4 linked regions of the Tamandua tetradactyla genome follow. The protein of the gene in region 3 purifies or fractionates together with the protein of the main gene of each other region. This does not show direct contact. Links are inferred from orthologs where the notes say so. Each region holds a gene or a part of one and is shown on either strand. Other genes may lie near its edges.

The links.
Region 1: the proteins of PHB1 (region 3) and SLC25A5 purify together in Homo sapiens (affinity purification with mass spectrometry; 3 studies listed by BioGRID and IntAct, with this or other methods). This does not show direct contact. The link is inferred for Tamandua tetradactyla from reciprocal best matches to the Homo sapiens genes PHB1 and SLC25A5.
Region 2: the proteins of PHB1 (region 3) and NDUFS2 purify together in Homo sapiens (affinity purification with mass spectrometry; 3 studies listed by BioGRID and IntAct, with this or other methods). This does not show direct contact. The link is inferred for Tamandua tetradactyla from reciprocal best matches to the Homo sapiens genes PHB1 and NDUFS2.
Region 4: the proteins of PHB1 (region 3) and VDAC2 purify together in Homo sapiens (affinity purification with mass spectrometry; 4 studies listed by BioGRID, with this or other methods). This does not show direct contact. The link is inferred for Tamandua tetradactyla from reciprocal best matches to the Homo sapiens genes PHB1 and VDAC2.

Annotation. Positions count from the first base shown.
Region 1 is NC_135353.1:47,510,662-47,517,931, reverse strand, and holds SLC25A5 (ADP/ATP translocase 2), read left to right. Parts: upstream 1-4,257; 5' UTR 4,258-4,355; coding exon 4,356-4,466; intron 4,467-5,458; coding exon 5,459-5,945; intron 5,946-6,124; coding exon 6,125-6,265; intron 6,266-6,662; coding exon 6,663-6,820; 3' UTR 6,821-7,083; downstream 7,084-7,270.
Region 2 is NC_135330.1:14,329,408-14,337,409, reverse strand, and holds the start of NDUFS2 (NADH dehydrogenase [ubiquinone] iron-sulfur protein 2, mitochondrial), read right to left. Parts: upstream 3,014-8,002; 5' UTR 2,976-3,013; coding exon 2,881-2,975; intron 2,036-2,880; coding exon 1,929-2,035; intron 1-1,928. Other genes in the region: ADAMTS4 (A disintegrin and metalloproteinase with thrombospondin motifs 4), read left to right, coding at 6,805-7,500. UniProt on the Homo sapiens protein: Core subunit of the mitochondrial membrane respiratory chain NADH dehydrogenase (Complex I) which catalyzes electron transfer from NADH through the respiratory chain, using ubiquinone as an electron acceptor. Essential for the catalytic activity of complex I.
Region 3 is NC_135332.1:30,599,465-30,607,009, reverse strand, and holds the start of PHB1 (prohibitin 1), read left to right. Parts: upstream 1-4,537; 5' UTR 4,538-4,633; intron 4,634-4,675; exon of another isoform or gene 4,676-4,871; intron 4,872-5,755; exon of another isoform or gene 5,756-5,858; intron 5,859-5,989; 5' UTR 5,990-6,029; coding exon 6,030-6,117; intron 6,118-7,430; coding exon 7,431-7,545.
Region 4 is NC_135339.1:21,372,128-21,379,497, reverse strand, and holds the start of VDAC2 (non-selective voltage-gated ion channel VDAC2), read left to right. Parts: upstream 1-4,353; 5' UTR 4,354-4,512; intron 4,513-4,719; 5' UTR 4,720-4,743; coding exon 4,744-4,774; intron 4,775-5,757; coding exon 5,758-5,826; intron 5,827-6,427; coding exon 6,428-6,477; intron 6,478-7,370. UniProt on the Homo sapiens protein: Non-selective voltage-gated ion channel that mediates the transport of anions and cations through the mitochondrion outer membrane and plasma membrane.

The sequences.
Region 1 (7,270 bases), on a different chromosome or scaffold from region 3:
GAAATTTTTACAATTTTTAATTTTGACTTTGTTCTTGCAATCCCTCTCCGTCTTGATCTGTCTTTCTTTTTTGGTGTTTGGCCAGGAAATCATACTTATTTTTTCTCTGATCCTTTTGAAGTCTGCAATCCCCATGCCTGTTCCAACCCCTGCAAAAAAAGCTTAGCTAACCTGTCTGCCACGCCCAGCGTTCTTCTGCTTAACAAATCCAGATGGCATGGTCATGTTCCCCAAGATTCTCGTCACTTTCACTTTGCTAACCAGATTTTCCTATTTATTGTCGGGATTAAGTCTGACCTAGCAGTTTCCCTCACTGTTTCTTCAGTCTTATGAGAGTTATAATTATCAGCAAGAGAGTGAAGAATTTATCTGATGTGTTGCTATTAGAATAATGAAGCTACAAACAGATATTTAGATAGTTTATGTCTCTGATCATCATTCTCACCTATGTGACAGCTTTATGAGGTACTGTTCATATCTTTTATCTGGGAAATTCTTATATACTTTCACGACTACAGTCATTTTCATTTCTCCCTTTCATCCTCACTGAATGCTTTCCACCCTGTGGCCAATGAATTACTATGCATACTTTCTGGACATATTACCACTGTTCCTCTCCTTCCATACCTCTCTCCGAGCCAAGTTTCCCTTCCTTTCCCAGCTGCCAATCACAAGTCCCAACCTATCAAATCTGAATGATACCTATAAAACTGTGTTGTCTTCCTTCTATTAACAGCTTACATTCACATTATTACCCAAATTCTGGGTATTGGTACCTAGATACATGTGCTGGTTTGAAACTGTTATGTACCCCAGAAAAGCCATGTACTTCTAATCCCAACAGGGGCAGGCCTGTTGTGGGTGGACCTTTTGATTAAACTGTTTCCAAGATGTGACCCACCCAACTCAAGGTGGGTCTTAATCCATTTACTAGAGTCCTCAATGAAGAAAATAAAAGACAGAAAACAGAGAGTTCAGAGCCGATACAGAAAGCAGAGAGATGACAGATGTTTGGAGACAGAAAATGCCCCAGGAGATGCTAAGAGACGAAATTCAGAGTTTGCCCCAGAGAAGCTAAGAGAGGACCCACAGAGGCTTGGAGAAGGAAGATGCCCCAAGAGAAGCCAGAAGGACCCACAGGACCTGAGAGACCCATTTTTGAAACCAACTCGGGAGAGAAGGACCAGCAGACATCATCATGTACCTTCCCATGTAACAGAGAAACCCCGGATGCCACTGGCCTTTCTTGAGTAAAGGTATGTTCTTATTTATGCCTTAATTTGGACATTTTCATGGCCTTTGAACTGTATACTTGTAACCTAATAATTCCCTTTGTAAAAGCCAGCCAATTTCATAGGCAGTACAACACTGGCTGAGTGGCAGAGTTCTCGCCTGCTCTTGCCTGCCATACCAGAGACCCAGCTTGATTCCCAGAGCCTGCTCAGACAAAAGAAAAAAAAAAGTAAATCAAAATCCAGTCAATTTCAGGTATATTGCATTCCAGCAGCATTAGCAAACTGAAGCAATACCAGAGGCCTTAAGTATAATTCTGACCCTTTATTTTCTCTTGAGAATTACTAAGCACAGCCTTAGCTTTAGTTAATCTTTATTATATTTGTATTCTATATAGCTTCCAGAAACATAATAGTTACTAACATAACACATCATAATACTATACCTCACTGGAGGAATTTGTTTTTAATGGGTTGACAAGGCATTATCATCGTGAATAGTGTTCTCTATTTTCCTGGGCTTTTGGTCCTGGTGTCCTTTATTTCATTTTATTTTAACTTTCAGTCTTATAAGAAAGTTGCAAAAAGCAGTACAAAGAATTTCCATATATCCTTCACTCAGTTACTCTATATGTTACCATCTTACACAAACACAGTAACTAAAAATAGTATTGGTATACTCTGAACTAATCTATAGATCTTACTCAGATTTCACTAATTGTACCGCTAATGTACTTCTTCTGGTCCTGGATCCAATCCAGGGTCACAGATTGCAGTAAATTGACATATCTCCTCGGTCTCTTTAATCAGCAACAGTTTCTCCATCTTTCTTTGTCTTTTTTGACCTTGACCCTTTTGAGAACGTCTGACTACTTAACATGAACATGATCATAGGCAACTAGTTTTTTGGCAAAAAACAAACAACAACAACAAAAAACAAGCATGGCATGAAGTTGCTTTCAAATGACCTATCTTATCATCTTCAATAAAACTATATTCAATATTACACCAAAGACTAAAAAGGGGGGAAATTCTATGTGACTAGTTGATCACCTTTTGGGGGAGAGAAAGAAACCTGACAGAACCACAAATATGAAAGCACTTGATTTTGGATGCTATTTTGAAATGGGTTGTGAAACCCACCTCCTTCCAAATAAAATGCTCCCTGGAGTGTTGCTTTAACTGCTGCTTTTCTCACCAATGAAGGTGAGGAATGACTGTAACTTCCAGAGTATATTCTCTATCATTCTCCGAAACCATAACATGAAGTCTTTTTTGTATCCACCTGCACCACTGTTACAATTGGCTAATAAGAAACAGAGTAGGGCCACGGTGCCTCAGCAGGCAGGGTACTCGCCTGCTATGCTAGAGGACCCGGGGTTTGATTCCTGGTGCCTGCCCATGTTAAAAAAAAAAAAAGAAAGAAACAGAGTAGCGTCTCCCTCCGCGCAGTCAAATATTTCCCTCAAGATCAACACAGCTGGATTCAGAGTTGCTCTTTGAATGCTTAGATTTATGCTCATCACTTTGAAATGTCCGAAATTCTTGGAAAGAGTAAGAAATTGCAAAGTATACTTTCAGAGGAAGGGCTTGGTGATCCTGGAGGACCTATACAAGTGTTAAATTTCTCTGGGTCCTTTATGGATCAGATCTGGAGAAGGTGGGAGAGAATGAAGAAAAGGAATGTGAGGGATATGCTGGCTATGCCTTCCAGCCTGCAAGGGGCTGCCTGCATTTTGCCTTAGGAATTCTGAAGTCTCAGAGCCTAGGGTTCAGCTACAGTTGCAGTTTTTCAGAAGTCATCCTTGTTTTTTGTAAACACTATTGTGATTATTTATACACAGGATCTGTGGTTACACTACTGGCTCCTGTTCTGAACCTGAGGACATGCACTCAAGCTAACAAGTTGGTTAAGGGCATGTTTGGGAAGTGCTTACCCAGCTCAAAGACTAATACAGCTCAGTAAACACTGTCTACACAATGGCTGTCAATCTTATTCTATCGATTCTTCCAAACCTTTCTGGAATCTACCATGTCCAAGAGTGCTTTACCTGGAGTCCAGGGAGCCAAAAGCTTATCTAGTTCACACAGTCTCTTAACACTTTGGGTACCTCTTTTATTTCCCCATCCTCAGTCCAGTCCTTTGGAGTTTCCTGAGTAATACTTGGCAAGATCTTTATCGAACTGTATTTGCAAACAGGAGTCTGGCGTGAGCTAACAGTGTTCTACTCTGCTGTTCCCCCAATTTCCTCTGGCTCCTCTGGTGTAGCACAGGGACAGGGGCAGGATTAGGGTGAGGAGAGCAAGACATTCTCCTTGGCGAAAAATTTAAGAGGGCGCCAAGCAACTCCGTAAGCAAGATAAATTCTTTCTAACGCACTATTTTAAAAAGTCAAAATTACCGCAAAAAATCCACGATGATCCAATTATCGAAATTGTAATTAAGGTCAGGCTCTGACTCTGCACTTGCACGCTCCTCCTCACTTGCCTTACCCTAATCCCAGTCCTGGGGCTCCAGTGCGACTTTATCTACTCACACACACACACTCACACACACACACAAACACAAAAGCGATCATCCCGCGGCCGTAGTTCTCCTATTCGAAGCGTAAAAATACTGCGTTAAAATAGTATTCATTTCGATGACTGAGTGTTGGGGGGCATTCCCCATTACACTGCCCTCGAGGCGAGTATCTCATCCGCCTTACGCTAGTCCTGGCCCAGCCCCAGGGGTATTTTTTTTCCCGGCACACAGTGACCTCAACCTTCCTCCCCACTCCGAGCCCTCCCCCCACAATCCAGCAGCCAGGTCCTGGGTATTCCCCGGGTCGCCCCTTCCTCCTGCCGGGTCAGGCGCCTCGGGCGAGTCAGCGCGGCGCGGACGCCTGCGCCCAGAGATGCAGCGGGGCGACTCCGCCCTCAGCGCGTGGAGCCACTCAGAGGCACCGCTGCCCCGCGCGCCAGGTTTCAGCGCCCGCCCCGGCCCGCCCCCGACGCCGGCCGCCTTGGCGCGGACTCCCCGTATATATATCGGCCATTTGCTCCGCTCCGCCCCAGAGCCCGGGAGTCGAAGCCGGTCCTCAGCTCCATCCGGTACCCGCCCGCCTCCTCGTTCCTCTCAACATGACAGATGCCGCCGTGTCCTTCGCCAAGGACTTCCTGGCAGGTGGAGTCGCTGCGGCCATCTCCAAGACCGCGGTAGCGCCCATTGAGCGGGTTAAGCTGCTGCTGCAGGTAAGGCCTGAGATCGGAGAGGCCGACCAGGAAGTGGGGGTCCGGCAGAGAGCGGAGGGGGGGGGGTCCCCAGGAGCGGAGAGGAGCTAACTCTTCAAACACGTACGGAAAAGTGGCAAGGTGGGGATGGGGTGGGGGGTGGGGGATGGGGTGGCCGCAGAGTATCAGACCAAAAGGCAGACTTGAGGGAGGTCCTTTAATGACCTGAAGTTCTGGGTCGGGTCTAGGAAGGGGACGGGACCCGAGGGAGGTGAGGGACACCAGGGCCGTGGCTGCCGCCCCGGGCCTTGGGGTCAAGGGCGCAGCCTTAAAGCCGGTGCTAGAAAGAGGAACGCTGGGCCTTACCGAAGACCTCAAGGTCGCGGCAAGGAGAGAGCCTGGCGGAGGCCCGGGCGGACCGGCCGAAGGGCCCCGCCGTGGACAGACGCGCTCAAACCTCGCCGCGCCGGAAGCAGGCGCCGGGAAGCGCGTGTGCTTGCTACGTCCACCCCCGCGCAGCCGTCGCGGTCGCCCGCCCGCCTGCCTGCCTGCGCCGTGCGACTCGCCGGCTCCGACACTAGGGGGCGCTCCCGGACGACCGTAGGGTGGTGGCGCCTCGGGTCACCTCTGGGAGAGGACTGAGGGCGTTGCAGCAGGGAGGGAGCTCTGGAGATCCGGGGCGTAGGCTTTGGTCATCAAGGTGACTGCGCCCTAAGGTGTACTCACCCTTGGAACCAGAGTCTGAGTGAATGACTTTTGTCCTAGGTCTAAAGGTCAACCTGTGTTTGGGGTTGCCCCCTTCCCACCCAAAGACTTAATGCCTCTTAATGGCTCAGATCACCTCTTCCACCTGTGACAGCTCAGAGGGTTAGGAGGGTCCTGTCCGTGGTGGTAGAAGACTGGGTGGGGAGGTAGGAGCTAACCTTGTAAAGGACATTAGTTAGGTTAATAGATTCTCTTTCCCTTCTACATGGTTGTAATTGCCTCCGTTGGCCTCCTTCCTCTCTTGTCAGGTGCAGCATGCCAGCAAGCAAATCACTGCAGATAAGCAGTACAAGGGCATTATAGACTGTGTGGTTCGTATTCCCAAGGAACAGGGAGTTCTGTCCTTCTGGCGTGGTAACCTGGCCAATGTCATCAGATACTTCCCCACCCAGGCACTCAACTTTGCCTTCAAAGATAAATACAAGCAGATCTTCCTGGGTGGTGTGGACAAGAGGACCCAGTTTTGGCGCTATTTTGCAGGAAACCTGGCATCGGGTGGTGCGGCTGGTGCCACATCCTTGTGTTTTGTGTACCCTCTTGATTTTGCCCGTACCCGTCTAGCAGCTGATGTGGGGAAAGCTGGAGCTGAAAGGGAATTCAGAGGCCTTGGTGACTGCCTGGTTAAGATCTACAAATCTGATGGGATTAAGGGCCTGTACCAGGGCTTTAATGTGTCGGTACAAGGCATCATCATCTACCGAGCTGCCTATTTTGGTATCTATGACACCGCAAAGGGTAAGTTTGCTGTATGCTTTGAAGCCATGTTCTTGCAAAGCCATTTAAAAGATCATTGTGCCAACCTTAATTGGCAAAGGAAGCCAGGGTCATCCAGTATAACCCTCGTACAGATGAAGGGATGTGTTTGGAGATGTGGAAAGTAACAAGTCAGTAAAACTCTGCTTTCTTGTTCTCAGGAATGCTTCCAGATCCCAAGAACACTCACATCTTCATCAGCTGGATGATCGCACAGTCTGTCACAGCCGTTGCTGGGTTGACTTCCTATCCTTTTGATACTGTTCGTCGCCGCATGATGATGCAGTCAGGGCGTAAAGGAAGTAAGTTTCATTCAAGCCGGAGATCGTCAAGAGTGTGGGCATGGGGCAAGCTGTGGCCACAAACTGAGGGTGCCTGGCTTTTAAAAAGGCAGTCTGTTCAAGTCTTGTGATGGGACTGATAGCAGCTGTGTCTGCTGCATAGCTGCCTTTGAGCCAGCCCATTAGATGGCTATGGATGAGGATGCTTAAATGGTATTAGAGGTTAAGGCCAATGAGTAGTCTGCAGATCCCTGTTCTCTAGACACACTATTAATATTTCAGTATTGTCCACACTAATGTGTAATGTTGGGTTTAAAGAAAACTGGCATTTTAGAGATGTAGGGCTCTTGTTCTAGCCTAGTAGTCTTAAGACTTTGATTGCCTTTGGTCACCAATTCCATGTCTTTATTCTTTGCAGCTGATATCATGTACACAGGCACGCTTGACTGCTGGAGGAAGATTGCTCGTGATGAAGGATCCAAAGCTTTCTTCAAGGGCGCGTGGTCCAATGTTCTCAGAGGCATGGGTGGTGCTTTCGTGCTCGTCTTGTATGATGAAATCAAGAAGTTCACCTAAGTTATTTTCTAGTGTTTCCCCTCCCGTGAACAGGCATGTTGTATTATGTAACAGATCTTGAGCATTCCCAACAGACGGTTGGCTGTCTATTTATCAATGGCAACAATTTAATGGTTGAAAATGGGAAGCAATAATATTCATCTGACCACTTTTTCTCTTAAAGCCATTTCCATGATAATGATGATGGGACTCAATTATATTTTTTATTTCAGTCATTCCTGATAAATAACAAATTTGAAGAAATAAAAATATCTGAAATACAATTTTGCTTGCTTGCAGTTCTTTTCGTTTTTGCATTTTTAATAAAGGCTATAACTATGGGTTTACAGTTACGCTGAGATGAAGAACTTTTATAATCAGTCCTCAAAAAAAAAAGTCCTCAGCCCATCCACTTGTCGAAGAATAACTTGGTTGTGTGACCTGCCAACATTTCCGATACTGTTAGAAAGA
Region 2 (8,002 bases), on a different chromosome or scaffold from region 3:
CTAGTACCACTTTTGTAGGATTGCTCTAAGGATTAAACGAAATAGTGCATAAAAAATGCCGAGCACATGGTAAGCATCAGCTATTGTTACTGCTATTTTTTTCTTTTAATTATTGTGATAGCATATATACAACATAAAATGTGCCATTTTTAAGTGTATAATTCAGGGCATTACTTTTACAATGCTATGCTACCGTCACCCCCCCAATCTTTTCCATCACTCCACACAGAAACTGTACCCATTAAGCAGTAATTTCCCCTTCCTCTTCTCCCCCAACACCTGGTAAATTCGAACCCACTTTCTGTCACTATGAATTCGCTCATTACAGATATTTCACATAAGTGAAATCATACAATATTTGCCCTCTTATGCCTGGCTTACTTCACTTGACATGTTTTCAAGGTACACTGTATACAGCGTATGCATATACCACATTTTGTTTATTCATTCATCTGCTGATGGATGTTTGTGTTGTTTTCATTTTTGGTGGGATGATGTGAATTATGTGAATAATGCTGCTGTAAGCATTGGTGTACAAGTATCCATTCAAATCCCTTTTTTCAATTTTTGGGGGTATATACCCAGAAATGAAATTGCCCAGTTAACTTGGTAATTTTATGTTTAATTTTTTGAGGAACTACTAAACTGTTTTCCACAGCAGCTGTACCAATTTACATTCCCACCAGCAATGCACGAAACAAATTCTCCACAATCTCACCAATTCTTTTTTAAAAAATAGTTATCGTAATGGGCATAAATTAATCTTGCATTGAAGTTTTGAGAAGCATTTTCCTAACAGCTAATGATATTGAGAATCTTTTTAAGTCCTATGGGCCATTTGTAGATCTTCTCTGGAAAAATGTCTACTGAAGTCCTTGGCTATTTTTTTTAACTGAATTGCTTATCTTTTTGATGCTGAATTGTAGTTCTTTATATATTCTGGATATTAATCCCTATCAGATATAATATTCACAACTGCTTTCTCCTGTTCTGCAGGTTATCTTTTCACTTTCTTGCCAATGTCCTCTGGTACACAAAAGTTCTAAATTTTGATGGTCTACTGTTAAGTTTTTTTTCTGGGGGGTGTATGGTCCAGGAATCAAACCCAGGTCTTCTGCATGGAAGGCAAGCATTCTACAACTGAACCACCCATGCACCCTACTGTTAAGTTCTTGAAAGATAACTGGAAGTGCTTTTGAAGGTTTTTGAGCAAGAGAAAGAATGGCACTGTAAAATGATATTTGTGGAAGATGAAGGCAATAACATTCTATAGGAGAGTTTAAGATGGGACAGATAAGTGGCAAGAACCCATTAAAGAGACTCCTAAAATAATCAAGGTTAAATACAAGATAAGTCTTCACAGGAATGATGACAACAAGAATAGAAAGGGAGAAATGATGAGATGTGAAACATGTGGTGACTTATTGGACAAGGACAGTGAGAGAGAAAAGAACCAAAGATGACTAAAAGGTTTCACTCCTGAGGGATTAGGAGAATGCTGTTACTGATTAAAATAATAAAACAAAAAGAAAGAACTACTTTTGTAGGAAAAATGTTTTGTATTCAGGCAGGTTTTATTTGGGCACCCGTGGGAAAACTATCTTGTCCAGAGAGGGAGTAGGAAATGTGGCACTGAACCTTTGGAAAAAGTTGAAGCTGAAGATTTAAATTTGTTAGGGACCTTCAGGTGTTAACTGGGACCTACTTTTAATTTTCTTCCTGGGATGTCCTTCCTTTCCTTTTCTGCCTCATAAATATCTATCATTATACCTATTATTATTTTTGCTGAATTGGGTGGTGAAAGAAGTAAAGAATGGAGGCTAACACTTGCCTAAAACAAAGAGCAACCATCTAAAATGACAAGAGCCTTGGAAATCAGCTTCAGGTAAGGATGGGTGTGGGTTGGAACCATAATTCTGGGCACTCACCGTTCCAAGGTGGAGGCTTCCAGTGGGCTGTTTCCTTGGTGGGGTACATGACAGCTCCCCCAAACTGCTCTGCCCATTCCACATCTGGCTGCCACTGCCGAGCACCTCTAAGAAGTTAAAGACAAATCCTAAACAAATAACCTGAACAGTGTTTGGCTCTTCTGTAGGAGAAGAACCAATTTCCACTCACTCTCAGATAGGACCAGGAAAAGTTGCCCTCAATCCTTCAGTGCCTGAAGGCTCTGACGCAGAGTTAGTATAGCTTTGGCAGAACAGGCTGGAAACCTAGGCATTCCACTTCCAGTAACAAGTTACACTTCACCCATCGCCCTTGAGCATGCAAGGCTGGGAATCCTAGCTCCTTTATATTCATATCCCCATCCTGGAGAATATGAATGATGGATATTTATTCAAAGTCCCAAATAAGACTAAGCTAAGAAGTAGGGAGTGTAAGAGGGTGAGAGAGCATGTGTAAGCATTCTGTCTCCCAGACTGAGCTGGCTGAGCACTGGGTTACTCAGGTATAACCGGGCAGGTGCACTGGGGTCTACCCGGGGTGCTAGTTTGCATTACTCCTTTATCTCCATCAGGGGTGCTTTCCTCTTCTCCTACAGTGACCCTGTCTCTAAGGAGATTCTTCACCACTCATACCCTAGCCGGGGTCGGAAAAGGCAGCGGAGCATACACTAACACTAACGTTGAAGGGCAGGATCTCCTAGCCCGCTGATTTTACACCTGGAGAACGAGTCAAGACCCTCCTCCCTCCCGCGGCCAAAGTGGGCACCACTGCATCCCGAACCCATGACAACAGGCCTAGAGGAGGGGTGACAGGCCTGGCCCATTCCTTCCTAGGGGTCACAGGGCCCATGGAATGTCCCGCCAAACTGTTTTCCACAGCTTTCGAGAAATCCTAGCCTTAGGGAAAGCGCTCGAGAGCTTCCCTCGATCTCACCTGCAGGGCTGAATCGGCAGTCTGACCCCAGACCCCGTCCGCAGCACCAGGGCCGTGACGCCCCGGAGGCTGCACAGAACCCTCAGCCCCGCCATCTTGCCCGCTGCACACTGCAGGAAGGAGAAGCGGGCGGAAGTGACTCGCGCGCGCCTCCTTGGGGGCTTCTCGCCTATTAGCAAAACGGAGCCGCCCTTTTGGAAGCTGGCAGGGTTGCGGACCGCGAACACGATAATATCCGGGTTCTGAGCCTCGGCTTCACTTTCGTTTAAAGGACGGGGACTGCGGTGATCTTCGCTGAGGACGGTTCTTCCCATTGCCCCAGGCTTGGCTTTTCTAGGCGTGAGCCAGAGAAACTTCCTTTCCTTCCAGGGACAACAACTCACTCTTTCACGCTCTTCTCGCCGAGCCCGCCTGCGTGTACCTTAGAAAGTGCCCTTCCGCAGGGTGCCCAGCACACACTGGCGCAGCGGGCTCCTTCCCTGCCCCCTTCTCCCTTGGTTGTCTTCCTGCCTAGTCCTGCTCGCAGCTGTGTTTGAGCCCTCCCTGCTCTTCTGGCTTTCTCGGTTATCGCCCCATCCCTGAATCCAAAAGATTCGGAGGAACCGAGAAAGCCAGCAGCGCACCCCTCTAATTTCCACATGCCCTACCTGAATCGGGTTAAGGAATAGGGGCCCGAGGGGCTAGGCGGGCCTGAGAACTCCCCCTAAACCAAACTTAAAAAGAGTAGGATGCCGGGAGGTACGACAGTGAGTCAGTGGCAGAATTCCCGCCTGCCATGCCGGAATCCCGGGTGCGATTCCTGGAGCCTGCCCGCCCCGCCTCCCCGCACCCCCCCCCCCCCCAAAAAAAAAGGCACTGTAAAAAGAGTAGCAGGATGCCAAGGCAACCAACGTTGGCAGAACAGGCCGGAGTGTGAAGAAGACACTCCACCCCAGCCCCGGCAGGGAAATTCCCCCTGATAATTGCCAGGCTCCCTAAACTTACAGAATTACAGACCCAGGAAGTTCCTTTAGAGATGTCTCACACCCCACTTAACATCCTGGGTCAGTGTCTTTTCCCTCAGGTCTCTCTGACTCTGCCTCAGTCCTGGACAGTCTGATTCTAATGCTGTAAGGAAGGGATGGAGTTTTCAAAACCTTGGAGACCAGTCACTGTTCTCTCCCTCTCCTTCCAAGCCCAGCTCCTGCTGGGCCACCCGTCGAGTTTTTACATCCCCCCCCCCACCCCCCCTAGCGAAAAGAGGCCTTTCCCAGATTTCCTCCAGACAGTTCCTGGGACACAGCCCACCAGCAGTACAGAAGGATGAGACAGACAGACCAGGGGTGTGGCAGAGAAAGAAGGGAAAGCCAAACTTCTTGCCTGGGAATTGACCTAATGGGAATGGTACCAAAAGGTGGGGGGCAGGGCTGTGGCTGTGGGAACTGGCCAGGACCTGGGGTGGACAGGACAGCCCCCTCAGAACCAGGGCAGAGATTTAGCCCCGCTGCCCTCCTCATTCTTCACCCTTCCCCTGGGCCTTCTCTTTCTCTATAGTTGGGACACAGTTAATGGGTCACAGATGGTGGCGGACGCTACAGGGACTGCATTTATTTGCCCTAATCCAGCTTGGGAGAAGTCTGAGCTGCTTGGCCCTGGAGGCAGCTTGAGCTGGGACTCGGGTGAGGGCTTCTGGGGGGCGGCTTGGGACACTGCATCTTTTGTGCCTTCTCCCGGCTGGCAACCCCCCCACACATACACATTGCTTCTGTGACTCTGAGGCTCTTTGTCTCTGACTGTTTAGTCACCTCCTTTGTCTTTATCTCAGATGGGGGGTGGAGAGGGGCAGCAAGAGCTCTGGGGATAGCTCCTCTTGCCCCTGCCCCTTCTGTTCGCCCAACCCTTGTCTGACTCTTATAGTCCCAGACCCCTCAACTCAGGATTAGGAACATGCATATAGTAGGGCAAGAGTTGGGTCTGGCAGTCACAAGAGGGAGGGTGGTACAGGAACTAATAGTCACCAGCAGGTATTAGTAACCTGAGTTGGAAGGGAGGGGGAGAGGAAATATTCTGGCGGAAATGATGTGGGGGACAGGAGGTGACAAGGCAGAGAGTGAGTAGGGAAGTGGCAGGGGTAGGAGGAGAGGTGGTCTGCCTGGGAAAGGGAAAGGACTGCTGATTGCACTGTCTTTCCTCGGGATTTCCTGGGGAAACAAGTGGCCATGGGGTGGGGTGAGCAGAAATTGCCCCTATTTCTGAACCCCTTAGTGCCTTGCCTTGAAAGTACATCCCCAAGGTCTCTTTTCTGACTTCCCTCCAGTCCAGAACCAAGGGAATCATTTTGCTTCCTTTTCCTAACACACCTCTTCTTCCAGTTGCCCCACCCCCAAGCACCACGTTCTCTTTCTCCGAATACCTTAATTTCCTTGTAGATACAGTGCTGCTTCCACCCTCTCTCCCTGTCCCAGGGTGAACAGCAAATAAGAAATAAAAGATTACTAGATATTCCAGGAAGAATTGGGTTCACAGGGTAAGGTGGGGCCAGCGGAGGGAGCTAGATAGGGGATTCCCTTCTATTGACACTGAGTACGTCTGGGCTCCTGAGAATAAGACTTTCTCAGGCTGGGGGCCCAGGGCTGGCTGACTTGAGGCTGGGAAAGGGTTTAGGGCAGTTGGGAGTAGGTAGGAGCAGGGCCAAGAGCCTGGGGAAGCGACTGGGAGCTGGGCCAGGGAAAGGGGAATCAGGAAGTGGGGAGGGGGAGCCCTGGGGGGAACGGAGGCGGAATGGCTGTTCCGGACTGGGCGGTAGTGGTAACTCAGGAAGAGGGAGCCTGAGGGAGAGAAGGGGTGTTGGAGCAGAGGAGGTGCCACCCTGGTCCTCCTCTAAAAGAAAAAGTCGTTAACCCCTTCTGCCTTGTCCTCTGCCCCCTCCAAGTGCCCATTCGAAGACTCATTCTAACTCTGGGCCCTGGTCATGGCCTCCTGGCCTACCCCATCTCCCAGCGGCCTGTACTCTCTCTAGCTGCTGGGTCCCATCCTCAAGGCACCTCAATTTTCTTTTCTTGTTCTGCCCTCTTAATGATTTTTAACTTGGTCCACACCCTCTTTCTCCAGCAGCTCACTAGTCTCCTCAGTCCAGGGAACCAGCTTCTAGAAGCAGGGGGTAGCATGAAGGAGCCCTGAGAAAGGGGAGATCATGCCAGGTTAGACAGTGAGAGCAGAAATTCTCCCAGGACTGTGGCCCTTTCTGTGCATGTTGGCCAGGCCCTTTCCCTGATTTCCTATCCCTCTTGGGGCTCTAGTCCACCAAAAAGGGAAAGAGACATCTGAGAGCTGATGTGGGGTTTTGGGAAAAGGCTATGTCATCAGCTGGCCGGGTGCCTCTGATTTATCCGGCTGCTAGAGATTCCCCTCCCCTGGGCAAGTCCCTTTTTTTTTTTTCCCAAGGAAAACACAATCTAGGATTTTGGGAAGCAATGAGACACACATCTGAGTCCCACCGACAGAGCTCCCGGCTGAGTGGCTTATAGCTCAGCCAATCGCGGAGGTTGGGGATGCTTAAAGGAGCTGGCGCGGAGAGAGGCTGGGAGAACCCACGAGGAGACCCATAGACACGGGAGAGACAGAGGAGGAGAGAAAGAGACAAAGGCACAACGGAAGGAGGCAGAGACAGAGAGGGCAAGAACAGAGGGGAAGCCAGACAAAGTCATACAGTAGGAAAGGCCAGAGAAGCTGCAGAAGATACTGGCAGGCAGAGCCAAAGATCCAGGAGAGGCAGGCGCGGGAGGAGAATTTGGAGGAGCCAGACCACTGGGATCTCCCCTAAGCTTAGGGGCCAAGTTTTCTCCATCTCCTCTGAAGGTCCCCAGCCCCTTTGAAAACTCTGCCTTTTGCCTGGCACAAGTCCGAGTCCCCAAGCTGCAGAGAGGAGCTTCCTCAGGCCAGGGCATGGAGGGCTTCATGCCCCAGCCAGCCTCACTCTCTCCCAGCTGTAGCTCCAGTGCCCTGTCCCGGACTGGCCCATGTCCCGGGAGGGGCTTGGCGGAGTGCTGGCTGTGGGGAGTCCAACTCCGCCTGCTGCTCCCCACTGTGCCCCTCTCCGGGCTGGTGTGGCTGCTTCTGCTGCTGCTGGCTCCCCTCCTGCCCTTAGTCCAGCCGGCCAGCCCCCTCCCCCGGGAAGAAGAGATCGTGTTTCCAGAGAAGCTCAACAGCAGTGTCCTGCCTGGCTTGGGAACCCCTACCAGGCTGTTGTACCGCCTGTCAGCCTTTGGGGAGACGCTGCTACTAGAGCTGGAGCAGGACCCCGGCGTGCAGGTCGAGGGGCTGACGGTGCAGTACTTGGGCCAGGCGCCGGAGCTACTGGGCGGGGCTGAGCCGGGTACCTACCTGACCGGCACCATCAACGGAGACCCGGAGTCGGTGGCATCTCTGCACTGGGATGGGGGAGCCCTATTAGGGGTTCTGCAGTATAGGGGGGCCGAACTGCACCTCCAGCCCCTAGAGCGGGGCACTCCTAACTCTGCTGAGGGGCCTGGGGCTCACATCCTACGTAGGAAGAGCCCCGCCAGCGGCCAAGGCCCCATGTGCAACGTCAAGGCTCCACACAGGCGCCCCAACCCCAGCACCAGCCCCCGAAGAGCCAAGGTAAGCAGCCCTGAAGTCTATGCCCTATAGTGTCCTCCTGCCATGTCTGTCCTACTGACCGCTATTTACCCTCTCTCCACCCACTGCTACTTCTGACCATTCTGCTCCTCTCTCTCCTGCCTGCCTTTCTCTCCCTTCACTAGTCTCCTTGCTTGGGGATCTGTCTAGCGGAGGAGCCAGGGATGGCTGGGGTGGGGTCGGGGGGGCGTGTCAGGAAGACCCTGGTCACTCCCTGCTCCACCCCAGCCCCAGCCCTTCAGCTGATCCCCTGAAGGTCACTCTCTAGGTTGAGAGTGACCATTCCCACCCCATGCCCTGTCCCTGCCTGATCATGGTGTCCCCTACTGGCACAATCCCCAGCAGAGAGGCTCTCCTTACAGCCCCTTGACTTTGGCTCTTTTCTCTGTCCCAAGGGGGTTTACAAACCATCCCCCACACCCCATGCCAACTCTCCACCCCCTCAATTCTCCTGCCCCCTACCCCTCCCCACTGACCCCCCAGC
Region 3 (7,545 bases):
TCTTTTGTCTGATGGGCATGATCTCAGTATACTGCATAGAAAACCAACAAAAGTGTTGCAGGGTCTTTATAAATGGAACCACTGCCAGTCTGGACTAAAAGGGACAGAAAAGGGACAAACTGAAGGAAAAATAACTTCAGAGGCAGAACCATGGAAGCTAAGATCTGAAGCCAAAGGGTGGGCCTTTTACCTTGATGTTCCGGAAGAGTTGTGCCCAGGCCTTGGAGAGGGTGGAGCACATTCCTTGGTGATTGGGGAGAGCCTGGCTGCTACCCCATTGTTCTGGAGGGGTTGACTGTGTGCCCTGGAGATGGCAGAGAGCCGAATGTTGCCTCAATGCTTGGAGAGGGGGGATCCAAGAAAATAGTGATCTCCCCAATGTCCTCCAGGGTTGCAAACTCCGTGCCAGCATTTGGAGAGAGCAGGGCTACTACGTAGGCCCTTGGAAAGCATCAGATTGCTGCTTTCTAAAGCCCCTAGGATAAATGACTCCCAGACTTTGAAATCTAATGTAGTTTGCCCTGCAGTTTTTTGGAACTGTTTGGGTGTGGTGACCCCCGTGTTCCTTCTAATTTCTCCCTATGGAAATGGAAACACATATCCTATGACTGAACTTCCTTTGTATGTTGGTAGCAGCTAACTTGTTCTGAGCTTTACAGGTCCACAGCCAGAGGAGAATTCTGCCTTAGGACAGACCAGGACTGTAGCTGATTTTGTACTGTTTCTGACTGTACTGTATTTGTAGTTTTAGTGAAATGGTTTTAGGCTTTGTGATATTGTGATGGAATGACTGTATTCTGCATTCGGAATGAACATATTTTTGGGGGGTCCAAATGGTGGAATGTGCTTATTTGAAACAGTCATGAACTCTAGGAAAACCATGCTCTTTAATCCTTATCCAATATTGCTGGGTGATCTTTTTTATTGTTTCCATGGAGATGTGAACCACCCAACTGTGGGTGGTAACTTTTGATTAGATGGTTTCCACAAAGATGTGTCTCCACCCATTTAATATGGGGTTGCTTACTGGAGCCCTTTAAGGGGGAACCATTTTGGAAAAAGCTCAGTGCCAACAGAGCCCACACAGCCAGAGACCTTTGGAAATGCAGAAGAAAAACGCCCCCTGAGAAGCCTTATGAAATGAGGAGAGAAAGCCAGCAGATGTCGCCATGTGCCCTCCCAGCTGAGAGAGAAACCCTGAACTTCATCAGCCCTTTCTTTGGAGTTAAGCTATCTTTCTTTGGATGCCTTAATTGGACATTTTCATGGCCTTAGAACTGTAAACTTGCAACTCAGCAAATTCCCTTTTTAAAAGCTGTTCTGTTTCTGGTATATTACATTCTGGCAGCTTACAAACTAAAACAGGGTAGATAAGGGGTAAAAAAATGTGTAGATTAAAATACTAGTGGTCAATGAGAGGGAGAGGTAAGGGGTTTGGGATGTATGGAGTTTTCCTTTTATTTCTTTTTCTGGGGTGATACAAATTTTCTAAAAATGATCATGGTACTGAATACACAACTATGTGATGATATTGTGAACCACTGATTGTACACTTTGGATGCACTGTGTGATAAGTGAAGATACCTCAATAAAAATATTTTTTTAAAAAAGATTGTATTTATAATGCAACTAGTCCATAGTAGGCATTCAAGAGATATTTGTTCTTAATCCCAACCTCCATCACGAAGAAGAGGGACTGAAGGGGAACAAATTGGACCCACTCCCAAAGTTAATGTGCCAATCTATTCTTCACCTCATCACAATTAAATGATTTTCAAATACCTTTCTCAGTATCCATACCCTCCCCCTCCCCATTTCTCTACCAACCACTAGTCCAAGTCCACATATAGCTTTCACATCACCTGAGCTTTCCCCTTGCCTTTGTTTCTCAAGACAAAGTGTGGGGGGAGTGGAAAGAATACGGGGTTTAGACCTAGAAGACCTGGTTCCAATCCTGCCTGGTTCAGACTAAGTTAGTGATCATGAGCAAATCATTTAACCTCTGTACCTCAGTTTCCATATTGTAAAATGTGATTAATAGATGGTGATAATGCCTAGTGGGATCTTTAGATAAATACACTTGAAAATTATAAAGCACTCTATAAAAATTGGTTAATTTTAATATTTTAAGCATTCCTGAGATTGACATTGGATTAGAAGCAAATGATATCAAGAGTAATTTTGCAGGATTCTGAAGCATCCTGGCTTCTTTCCCGTTCACAACCTGACTAACCAGTCACTTTCCCTTTAATGCCCTCCATCACTCAGTTATTCAACAAACACTTATTGAGGGTTATTGGGTGCCAGATACTGTTGTAGGTGCTGAGAACAGAAGAATGAAGATAATAGATTAGATTTCCAGCTCTCATAGAACTTCCCTCCTTTGCGCTTTTGATGATAAACACACATCATCTGAAATATTCACTGAGTGGATATTTCTGGTCATTTGACTGACTGTATTGAGTGGGGCAGGGAAGAGGGGCAGAGGAGAGGAGAAAATTGTAGGAAAATGAAGTTAAAGGACTCTAATTCTGTTACAGACCAGAAATGGGCTTGTGTGCATCAAAATTAGGTGTCCATAACAACATGTATATAGAATCCCAGCTAAAAATGCAAAACCTGAATTTTCTCATGATTACATGAGAAAACATCAGACAAATCCAAAATGAGAAGCATTCTCTATTTTTAAAATGTAATAAAATGTTACACAAAAGGACAAACAACAAAATAATAGATAAATGGGACCTCATCAAAATTAAAAAAAAACAACAACTTTGTGCATCAAAGGACTTAACCATGAAAGTAAAAAGATAACCTACACAATGGGAAAAAATGTTTGAAGATTACATATCTGATAAGGGTTTAATATCCACAATATATAAAGAAATCCTACAACTCAGCAACAAAAAGGCAAACAGTACAATTAAAAATGGGCAAAATATATGAATAAACATTTATCCAAAGATAAACAAATGATCAATAAACACATGAAAAGATATTCAATATCATTAGCCACTAGAGAAATGGAAATCAAAACGTCAAGGAGATACCATCTCACAACCACTACACCGGCTACAATTAAAAAAAAAAAAACTCGAAAAATAACAAGTGTTGGAGAGGATGTAGAGAAATAGGAATTACTGGTGGAATGTAAAATGCTGTAGCCTCTGTTGAAAAGTTTGATGGTTCCTCAAAAAGTTATGAACAGAAATACCATATGACCTGGCAATTCCACTTCTAGGTATATTCCCCAAAGAACTGAAAGCAGTGTTAATAACAGGCAGCAGTGTATACGTGTGTGTGTGTTGGGGGTAGGGGTAGGGTAATATGAGAACTGTATATTTTCTGCATGATTTTTCTGTAAACATACGATTTCTCTATTAAAAATTAATTTTTTAAAGTAATAAAGACAACAGACGGCTGAGGAAATTTTCCAGATTAAAAGAGACTAAAGAGAAGTGAGAGCTAAAAGCAGCATCTTTTCTTAGACTGCATCCTGAATTGCCAGGGAAGGAGGGGAAATGCTATTTTGTTAAGTGACAAAATGTAAATGGCAGATTAAAGTATTATATCAGTGTTAAATTTACCCAGGTTATGTAAAAGGATACCTTTATTCTTAGAAAATCCACACTTTATACTCTAGGGATAAATGACCGTGAGGTATGCAGCTTACTCCCAAGTGGTTTAGGAAAAGAAAATTAGATAACAAATGATAAAAAGCACGTGGAGCAAAATGTTAACAAAAGGTTAATCTAAATAAAGATTACACGTTTTTTTCTGTTATTCTTGCAACTTTTCCAAATAAAACGTACTTTAAAAATCCTGTCCTGGACTCTACACTGAATCCCTTTGCTAACTAGGTACATGACCTTGAATGAATCCCGTCTTCATTCCGCGCCTTAGTTTTCTAGTTCAGATGTTTTGTTGTTGTTTTAATTTTTTGTTTTGCCTTTGAGGTTTTCTTTATATATTCGGAGTTTTTAAACATTGTTACAAGCCCCAGTAATCCTGGTAGGCCCCAGATATTCGACTATCGAATAAACAGACCTGTACTTCTTCCCATTTCCCACACTCCGTCAGTGAGCCCCAAATTCCCTTTTAGTGGCCCCCAAACAACTCCTGCTCCCATATTCTGATCATTAGGCAGGAATTGCTAGTGGGTTCATACTTCTGTTGTGCTGAGTAGATGGTTTGTTTCTAAGACTGCCTCTGTCTCTGGTAACCAATCTCCCACAATTCTGAGAAAGTTTCCAGATTGGGCCTGGGGAAGAACACGGTACCTCAGCTTCCCGCAAGGTCTCTTTGCCACCAGTTAATTCGCCACAACTTTCTTCACGATGCCCACTCTTTTTCTTTCATTAGCCATAAATCTGCCCCTACCCTGCCGCGCCACTAGCCGCAGGCGCAGCCACTTATCCCTATCTTTGGTCCTGAAGCTCCTCTCCATTCCCCAGGTTCCAGCATCGGTTCAGTACAGGCACGTGCATCATCCCCCAGAAACTACAGAGCCCAAAAGGCTTTGCGGCAACTTCCCCGCAATTACCGCCAAAGAAAAACGGCTATTCTGCGCGCGCCTGCGGCTGCATGGCCTGAAGGGAATTATAGTCCACCTCGGAAGAGGGGAGGAAGTCTGGTAAGGCTGCGAACCACCCTTCCCAGAATACATAGCGTTCTTCTCCTCCAATCGGGGGCACAGATCTTGGAAGGGGGCGGAGAAGGGGTGGCCGCTGGGCGCACGCGCAATGTGTGTGGCTGGGGAATTCATGTGGAGGTCAGAGTGTAAGTAGGTGAGGACTGTGCGCTGTGGCTCAGGCCTCTGTCTCGGCGTCTTGTTAATCCTTCTGTCTTTCCATACGTACCGGGAGAGCGGGGTGCGTATGCGGGTCGGCCTCGTGAGGGAGGGAAAAAAAGGTGGGCCCGGGATGAGCTAAGGGTTGCGTTAAGGGAGGTGTGTATGGGGGCAGGGTGAGGAATAATCCAGAGACTATTAGAAATGGAAAGACCGAGGGGTAAGGACTGGGTATCGTGGCCCCGGGGGAGGAAGATTTAAATGCTCGAGGAGAGATAAAGGTAGTTTAAAGGATTTGGGGTCTGAGAGAGAGGGAGGAAGAATTTGAGACAGTGGTGAACGTCGACGTTGGGTCAGGGTATTAAAAGTTAAAATGCTGGAGTCATTTCTGGTTGGATGACCTGTGCTCCCACCCACTTCGCGTCAGTCCTGCCCTCCCTCCTCAACTAGAGCTGTTTCTGGCTGTGCAGTTTATAGTCTTTATGCCCAAATTGTTTTTTCCATTCTCTTGGACCCAGAATGTCATCAACTTCCTGCTTCCATAATAAAATGGCATTATTAATGCTTGATGTTGAGAAGCAATATGGGGAAGGTTGAAGCTGAACCCCATTGAATCCTGTTACACCACTTAATAGTTGTATGATTTGGGGCTCTTGTAACTGCTCTGTATACCTCAGTTTCCTCATCTATAATCGTTGAATTGTTGTGAGGATTAATTAATGAGGATTAATTAAATTGCCCTCAGAACACTCCTTGATATAAATATTATCTGTTGGGATCGCCATGAAGCATATTCTTTTAATTGTTTTTCCAAACCAGAATTGCACAGAACCAACTATACAGACTTCCTCTTGGGGCTTACTTGTCCTCGGAATGGGAGGACTTTTTAGTGTGGAGCTAAAAGTTCTTGGTGGTATCAAGCCCATTCTTCGACCTTTTTAACTTCATGTTCCCATTATTGAACAGAATGCTCCAGAGCCTTTTCCTTTAAGTGATAGCACTGAAAAAGGGAAAAGCAGAGAAATTGCTGAGACACTTTTCCAGGCTGTTGAGTTGTGTCCCTCTGCAGGTGAGTTAGAACTCTTATGAGTGGGGGAATAAGTAGCCAGCTTGAGAAGTGAATGCTGTGCCTCATAGATGATTGACTGTCTCTGCGGATTTGGGGGTCAAGTTGTTTTGTTTTGTTTTTACCCCCCTTAGGAGTGAGTGAGCTAAAAGACAAGGTCCAGCAGAAGGAGACATGGCTGCCAAAGTATTTGAGTCCATCGGCAAGTTTGGCCTGGCCTTAGCTGTTGCAGGAGGCGTGGTGAACTCTGCCTTGTATAATGGTGAGACAGTAGGGGATGGTGGGTCATTGCCCTGCATAGACCTTGTGACTTTCCTGATTATAGCTGATGTTTCTGAATGCTTGTGGCCAAGAGGGCTGACCTCCTCTGTCCCATACCATGCTTTGTTACCAGAGTCTTGGGTTCTTTGGGCCATAGGTTCTTCTCAGAGCCTTAATTTAAAAAGAGCCTCCCACCCTGTTGCTGGTTGCTGCTTTTGCTGATTTCAAGTGATGCTGCACTCCCCAGTATATGTTAGCCGAGTACCAGGATTTCACTGGCTAGCTGAAATGGAGAGCTCATTTGTTCTCTTCTTTTACCTGCATGTGAAATAACTTAACAAGTACTTCTGACCCATTTGATGAGCTTGTCCTGAGCAGGAGCTTTCACTCTGCTGCAGTTGAGTAGCACCAGAAAAAATACCTTTGAGATGCATTGCCCAACTTTTAACAGTATAGTAGGGGTTTAAGCAGTTTTTCTTCTGCTTTGCTGTGCGACCTTAGGCAAATCACTTTCCCTTTAGGACTCAGCTTCCTCACTAATCAAGCAATGGAGATGAAGTAGTTTATCTCTTCAGACCTACTCCAACTCTGACATTCTGTTGTAGATCAACCCACCTCGTGTGTAGTGATATGATGAGGCAGATTGCTTTCAGAGCTGAGATATTTAGACCATCCATAAAGTCCAAAGAACAGAGGAAGAAAGCAGCTGATCAGAAAAGCTTGCTTGCTTTATATGATGTATCTTAACACTATGATCCTTTTGGCAACAACCTATACAACTAGACAGTTACTACTATCATTGAATGTATCTCTGAATCAACAAGACAGCTGTATAGCCCCTAAAAATCCTTAGAGAAGCCAAGGTATTAGGAAGAAAGGATGGGGCCTTCTAAATTTGAGGATTCCCATGGTGAGAGTGCTGCTTATGGGAGCACTAACTTACACTGGAGGCATGGTAGAGCATGATGACAGTGAAGACTTTGGTGAGTTTTTCAAAGAACTTTGGGAGGTGATTCCTGGAAATGTGTTATTGGGGACTTGCAGAGGAGATGGTTAATCAGATTTCTTTCAAGGAGAAAGGACTCTGAGGAGCAGATCCTATTACCAAAGTCCTAGGGGAGATACATGGGACAGGAAGTGATTGCTTAGTGTTGTAGCTATTTAGAAGCCTTTAGAGACCAGAAGTGCAGGAAGATAGAGCAGGAGAGAGAAGACTTAATAAATGCACAGAAAGCACGAGGAATCTCTCAAAGACATACTCTTCTTGGCTAAAGGGTTAGGGAGTTTTTCTGACCTGTTATCCTTCCTTCCTAGTGGATGCTGGACACAGAGCTGTTATCTTTGACCGGTTCCGTGGAGTCCAAGACATTGTAGTAGGGGAAGGGACTCACTTTCTCATCCCTTGGGTACAGAAACCAATTATCTTTGA
Region 4 (7,370 bases), on a different chromosome or scaffold from region 3:
GTCTTAGGAAGAGGTGAATGTTGTTTGCATGTAGGAGGAATGCAAATAATGTGACTAGGGGCTGGTCTGTGGTGATTTAAAATATATCTACAAATTCTTTGACACTCCTTTCAAAAGGTGGAGCCTAATTCCCCTACCCTTGAATGCAGTCTGGTCTTAGTAATTAACTCCTGTTCTAGTTTGCAAGCTGCCAGAATGTGATGTACCAGAACTGGAATGGCTTTGAAAAGGGGAATTTATTAAGTTGCAAGTTTACAGTTCTAAGCCATGAAAATGTCCAAACTAAGGCATCCAGCAAAGAGAACTTAATTCAGGGAAGGCTGATGGGTCAGGAACTCCTCTGTCAGCTGGGTAGTCATGTTGCTGGCATCTGCTGGTCCCTTGCTCCTGGGTTCTGTTACTTTCAGCCTCTGTTCCTGTAGGGATTCCTCACTTTGCTTCCCCAGGGCTGGCCTTCATCTCTTGACTTCCCTTGGATCTCCAGGATCTGGCTTGCTTAACATCTCATGGCAATGCCTACTGGCTCCAAGCATCTCCAAACATCTGTATCTCTGTTCACATTCTGGCATTTGTGCCATTCTGGGCTCTGAAGCTTCTGTCAGCTCTGCTCTCTATCAGCTCTGTCATTTCTAAGGTTTTTGTAGTTTCCAAAATGTTTCCACTTTTAAAGGATTCCAGTAAACTAGTCAAAACCCACTTGGAATGGGTGGAGTCACATCTCCACCTAATCAAAAGATCACACCCACAATTGGGGGCATCACATCTCTGTGGAGATAATCTAATCAAAACTTTCCAACCTGCAGTATTGAATCAGGATTAAAAGAAACGGCTGCACCCACAAGATTGGATCAAGATTAAAACATGGCTTTTCTGAGGCACATAAAACTTTCAAACCAGCACAACTTCTAACAAAGAGCTTAAGGTATAAGTGACAGTGTGTGATTTCCGACGCTGGGTCAAGTAAGTCCTTATGGCTTCAGTCTCTCTTTCTTGGATCACCTTACAACATTTGTTATAAGAAATGATGTATCTGTGATTTAAAGCCTCTTATCGAATTTGATGGAAGTGGTGAATTTCAGCCAAAGTGGCAAAAGAAATAGTGTTACCTGGGGGAAGCCAGCTGCCATGTCATGAAAACATTGCAAGTAGCCCTTTGGAGAGGCTCACATAGAAAGGAACTGAGGTCTTCTGCCAAAAGTCACATGAGGGAGCCATCAGGAAAGCGGATCTTCGAGCCCCAATAAACCCTTCAGATGACTCCAGCCCCAGCGGATATCTTAACTGCAACCTCATAAGAGACCCTGAGTCAGAACCACCAGCTAAGCCATTTCCTAATTTCTGTCCCACAGAAGCTTTCATATAATAAATGCTCGTTATTTAAGCCATTAAGTTTTGAGTAATTTACTACACAGTAACAGAAAACTAATATTCTCTCTTTACCTCATTTGACCTCTTCTCTGCATGTTACTCTGTTGAGCGCTCCCTCCTCCACCCAATGACTCCTCCTCTGGCTTCCATGAAAGTACTCCCTCCTGCGGTGTCTTTTAGTCTCTCAATTTCTTCTTTAGCTCTATGTTATTTGCCCCTGAAACACCGTAACTCCTCTTAGGCTTCTACTTTCTGTATTCCTATCTGATTTCTCACTGACCTTAATCACTCCCATGGTTAGTCATAATTAAAACTAAAATTTTCATGTCAATGTCTCCTACCTAGACATTTCTCCTAACCTTCATAACTGTCTATTAGATAACTCCACATAGATGGGACTCCTGGCTCCTCATATTCAACTAATCTGAAATTGAATCATCCTGTTTCCCCTCAAACCTGCCCCTCTTCCTGGAGGCCTTCTCAGAGTGAATGGGATTTTGTGTTCCAAGTTTTTCAAGTCAGATGAGTCTAGGTTGCTTCCAGCCAATCTGGACTTCTCCTCACTCGCCTGCTCAGGACCCTCAGAATTAGGCTCCAGTCAACTTCTTTGGCCTAACTGCTCAATTTTTTCCACAGGTTGTTCCAACTCTACTTAAATCATTTGTGGCTCCCAAATGATTCCTGCCATTCCAAGTCGCCCATGCTTCTTTCTAGATTTTTGCCTTCCCATCCCCCAACCTGTCGGCGCTTTAGTTTTGATAAATCCTACTTTTAGAGTTTAGTGCAAGTTTCTTCTCAGTCTGACTGTGCTCATAGCTCTCTGTACTTATATCTTATTACTGTACTTACAACTCCTGAGCTTGTCTTTCTCATTCCACACCCTTTGTTGGGTGACAATTTTCCATGGCACTCTACATGTCAGCTTTTGTGCCAGCCTACCTTTTCAAGGATATTTGCATAGCAAACAGCCTTGGAAGATAGAGTTAGTACTGTGATGTGGACAGAGGTTAGATTCTGTCTCCTCTGATGTATAATGTCTTCCTCTGGAACACAGGTTGAGCAGGTTTGTTAGTAGCAGACAGGATTTCCTAAGCTCAGAGTTCCTCAGTTATGACACAAATTCATGGTGTGCACAGCATCTATCTGGGCCACTCTCTGTCACTCATGTGAGATATAGGGGACAAGAGAACTGATGTAAATGTTAAGCTTATGCTGCCTTCTGTGCCATAATAAAATCCCTTGTCTTTGATTCAGGAGTCTCCTATTTTCTGCAAGTGTCTATGAAGCCATGGCAGGCGAACTTGTTGGCTTGTAAGAAAGGTAAAATCTCGAATCCTTCACAAGTTTTGACACCCCTATACATACCTGACCCTACCTAAGAGCTTTGAAAGCAGGATTTGTGTCTCATTCGACTTTGCTTTCCCGTGGGTAACACAAGTAATTGTTCCATAAGTGGTAGCTGTTACTAATGCCACTTTGGTCTACAGAGCTTTGGACTGAAAGCATTCAGATATATTTACCAAATCCAATTTTGGAATACATTGCCATGATTCTCTGTTTAACCAGAGATCTTCCTTTCCAGGCTATTAGGTATTGTGTGCATGCCTTGGGTTTGCAGAGAACGGAGCTTCAGACCTGTGTTCTGTAGTAAAGTAAAGTTCCCTGAGGACTACAATTGTTACAAACCCTACTGCAGGTAATGGAGGTGACTAATTTAGCAGACACAGTTTTTCTAGGAAGTGGTGTGTTGGGGTGCAGTTGGGAGCTATTGGGATGGGGATGCCATTCTCTGCCATTTCCCTCACAAAAGCATCAAACATGGAGCAAACCAGCTCCCAGGGGAGCCAGGCTCATTGCAGGTTGACCTGTCTGAGCTTGAATGAAGGAATGAAAGGAATGATTCAGCGCTTCTGGTACCTGATCTCTTATGGGCAGACTCTTTTCTTCTACCCTTTACAAAATGAATAAGCCAAGCCATGCCTAAACAAGACTGATGGCTCGGCTTGCTCATGGGAGGGACAAGCTTTCCCTTAATCAGGGTTTTCATTGTGAAAGTCCATCTAGCCTATCCTTTCCCTCATTTAGGAGAATGGAACTTTGGCAGCGTTTGAGCAGAGGTGGCTTTAAGAACCAGAAGAAATGAGGGGGAGGAAAGACTGCTCATAGTCTATAACTGACTGACTATTAAATGTCTTTTTCTTTTTTAAACTTGTCATTTTATAGATGAGAAAACTAAGGTACAGAGGGGCTAATTACTGAGATAAGCGATTGATTCCGGAGCCCCACCTGACCCCACTTCCGTCTCATTAGATTGCTCTTTTTTTTTGTTATTGTTGTTCCCTTGGTTCCCCCACTCTACCCGCACACCCGGAGAACTCAAGTACAGCATCAAGTTCCTACTGTGCCCGATCAGCATGAATCCTGAAGTTTCTCCAAACCCGTCTCATTCAGATGAAGGTGGGACCTGCACAGGCTTGTCTCCCCAAGAGTTACGGTTCTCGTGTGTGAAGCAGTCCCAACCCTGAGTGGGGCGCAAATGCCGCATTTGCTCAGGGTAGACGGGGTTCTCAGGGCTCCAGGCGCTCTCTACATAGAGTCTTTCTGGGGGATATGGACACTTGCTGAGAGAAGTACGTGACCTTCGGGGATGCACAGCCGCACCCAACCACTCTGGGCTCCCGGACACCCTCCTGTCGCCCCGCCCCCCGTGACCAGCGCGTGCCGAACTTCCGCCTCATCCCCGTCCGCGCGGTCCTCGTCGCGTCGTCTTCGCTGTTCCCCGCCCCCTCGACTTTAGGGCTGCCCTCATCGCTGCCTGACCCGAAGTCCAGCAGCTTCTGCCTTCCCGGCTCCCGCCAATGGACAGAGACAGCCCAACCTGAGTCTTCGATTGTCCTCGGTCCATATGGCTGCTCCGGAGCAAGTTGGAGAGGGTGGCGGACGGAGCTGCAGGGATAGGCGCGGCGGGCGAGCCGCGGGGAGCGGCGGGGTCCTGACGAGGGAAGGACGGGGTTACGGCGGGCGGAACGGTGTCTCCTTCACTTCGCCCTCCAGCTGCGGCAGCTGCAGCGGTATCTTGAAGCAGCTTAGCGGCTTCAGCTACGAGCGGATCTGCTGCGGCGACCCCGGTCAGGAGTCAACCAGGTATCGCCGTGCCCGCCTCAGACCGACCCGGGGGGCCTAGGCCGAGACGACTAAGCGGGAGGCCCGAGTCAGACTCGGGGTCGGCCCTGACTCCCTAAGATGGCCGCGCTGCCCCGCGGCCCCTAGCCCATCTCTGTCTGAGACCCGATTCTGGCCCCTTCACCTGCCTCCGACCTTCGTTGACCGCACTTCTTGTCCCTCCTGCAGATCACCCCTTCCCTTGGCCTCGTTATGGCGACCTACGGGCAGAGCTGCGTGAGGCGTGAGTAGAGCAATGATCTCTGCGGAATGGGGCGGAGGGTCCGGGGAGTTAGAGCCTGCCGACCATAAAACTGCAACTTCTTTCCCCACATCTTTCCAAAAACTCGGAAACTCGTTCCCTTCCGGTAGCCGCTCTACCATGTGCCCACCCGGGCTCTGCGGAGGAGGGATCGGACTGCTGGATTCTCGGGTGGAGAGACTGGGCCCGGAGAGTTGGTCTCTGGCCACACTCACTTTCAGTTATTGGACGTGCCTTTGACGAACAAAAAAGCAAAAAGTTACCAATTGTTGGATTCTCCCTTTGAGAGATTGGATCAGTCACTTTTTAGAGGAAGTAGTACTCTCCCTTGTGCGAGCGCAAGGTCAATGTGCTTCTGAGGGCGTGGACATGCTTTGTTGAATGAATGAGCTGGTGTAAGGAGCTCAGATTGTCCATAAACCTCGCTGCAGTGGCCCAGGACTTGATTGTCATATTAGTATGTTAAAAATGCCATTTTATATTTAGTTCCTGTAGACGCGTAAAACATAGATAGCTGTACTTTGTCTAAGTTCCAATATTTAAGTTCCCAGTGCATTAAGTTCTCTTTCCTACTCAGAACGTTTGTTTTGATCTCAGGATGCTGAGATATGTATCAGGGGAGGGAGTCTAGCCTTAGGTTTTGATTTTATCTCATTTGGTAAAATCAGCCCATTCAGTGATTTTTATTAGATTCTTAGCTGTGCTTGATTCCAGTCTGGTCCAAAGAAGTGAGGCTATAAGTTCTGTGTAAATTTCGGAATAGAAAATGTGTTAGTCGATTTTGGAAGGAAGTTAGCAAATTTGTATAGTCTTTTTGATGTGGTTATCCATTGTAGAAATAGGCTTTTTTGGTGATACCTGTTTGAGGGATAACTGGAGTAAAGGTTTATTGTAGCTCATAGTGCATCAGAATCACAATTCAAATGAGCAGGGACATTAACAGTGGAATGTTTTCTTCCCACCAGCGATGTGTATTCCTCCATCATATGCTGACCTTGGCAAAGCTGCCAGAGATATTTTCAACAAAGGATTTGGTAAGTTTGCTCCCCCCCCCCCCCCCCCCCGTTTTTGATAAAAAGTGAAAGTGTATGTTTGGGTACTTAATCTCAATCTTCTTCAAATTATAAATATTTTGTTGCATTAATTCTTTCAGACACGTTTTAGGTAACAATTTACATACCCCTTTACCCCAATTCCCCGCAATATTTTCAAACTACTTGAAGGATTTTAACCTTTAAGAAAAAACAGCTTGTACTTTTGGTTCCTTCAGTTGTAGACACTTCAGCCTTGTTTGACTAGTTATAATGTATTATTGTTTTGCTTTTATGGTGGTGATCAAACGATATGGTTTTTTCAAGTGAATTTGGATTTTTCTTGACTATTTTTTTTCACCTCTTCAGATTACAATTAGAGATAGCTCTTTAGATAAACAGTTTGAAAGCTTTTTTTTTTTTCAGCATGGAGGTGTTCTGTCCTTTACAAGTTCAGTTTATGTAGAACTAATTTTCATTTAAATATTGTATCAACATGCATTTTTTTTCCTCTGGATATGTGGAATCTTTTTTTTTTTTTTCAACATATAGACACCTATTGGCTTGCATCTCAATCTTATCTTTTGCTCTCTACTTGTTGAAGGTTTTGGCCTGGTGAAACTGGATGTGAAAACAAAGTCATGCAGTGGCGTGGTGAGTGTTAGCTATCCGATAAGTTCTGATGAGCCTTTGTCTACTTTTTCAACCCATAAATAGTCATTGCTGAAAGGTGTTTATGTATGTTATCTTTTTTTTTTGCATGGGCAGGCACTGGGAATCGAACTGGGGTCTCCGGCATGGCAGGCGAGAACTCTGCCTGCTAAGCCACCGTGGCCCACCCTATGTATATGTTATCTTGACGAAGAGACAGAAGTAGGCAGTTTTATCTCAAGAGGGCTGTATGTAGCCTGATTTATTTTGGCTTTGGCAATGATTTCTGATATTCATGTTGTTTTTTAGCCAGACTGTTTATTTTGTATGCAAAACTCAGGAAGGACACCGGTGATGGGACTCTTTGTTTAGTCAGTAAGATTGCAAATTTGAAGGCAGGAAACCTATATGCTTTCTGTAATCCTTTTTCTCAATGCCTGTCAGAAATATGGCCATGAAAATGTTTAGTAACTTCTTATTAATTTGAGGGTCCTGATCGTTTATATAATGGCCATATTTTAGTAGCCCTGCATGGAGAAGATTTCCATGTGTTTTTTGTGAGACTCGTGAGTCCTGAATGCAATGTTTTAAGAGAGGTTAATGTTTTGATATTTGGGTGTTTTGAGCCTTCCCTAACTTCTACAAAGAGGATGAAGTAAAATTTCATTTTGTTTTAATTTTTTCTTACTCTAAAAATTTTTTTGAGATTGTTTTGGGCGTGGATGGTATATTGAATATTACTGGTTACTTCTACAAATTTTTGCTGCTGTTAACACCTTTAGTGTATGTAACCGGTATTTACTAAATTAGTCATGTTGTAGTTTCATAATGCCTAGACTTGTTGGGTTTCTGGGTTTTTTTAATTGGTCACAGTTATCATTTGGTTTCTTTGTTCT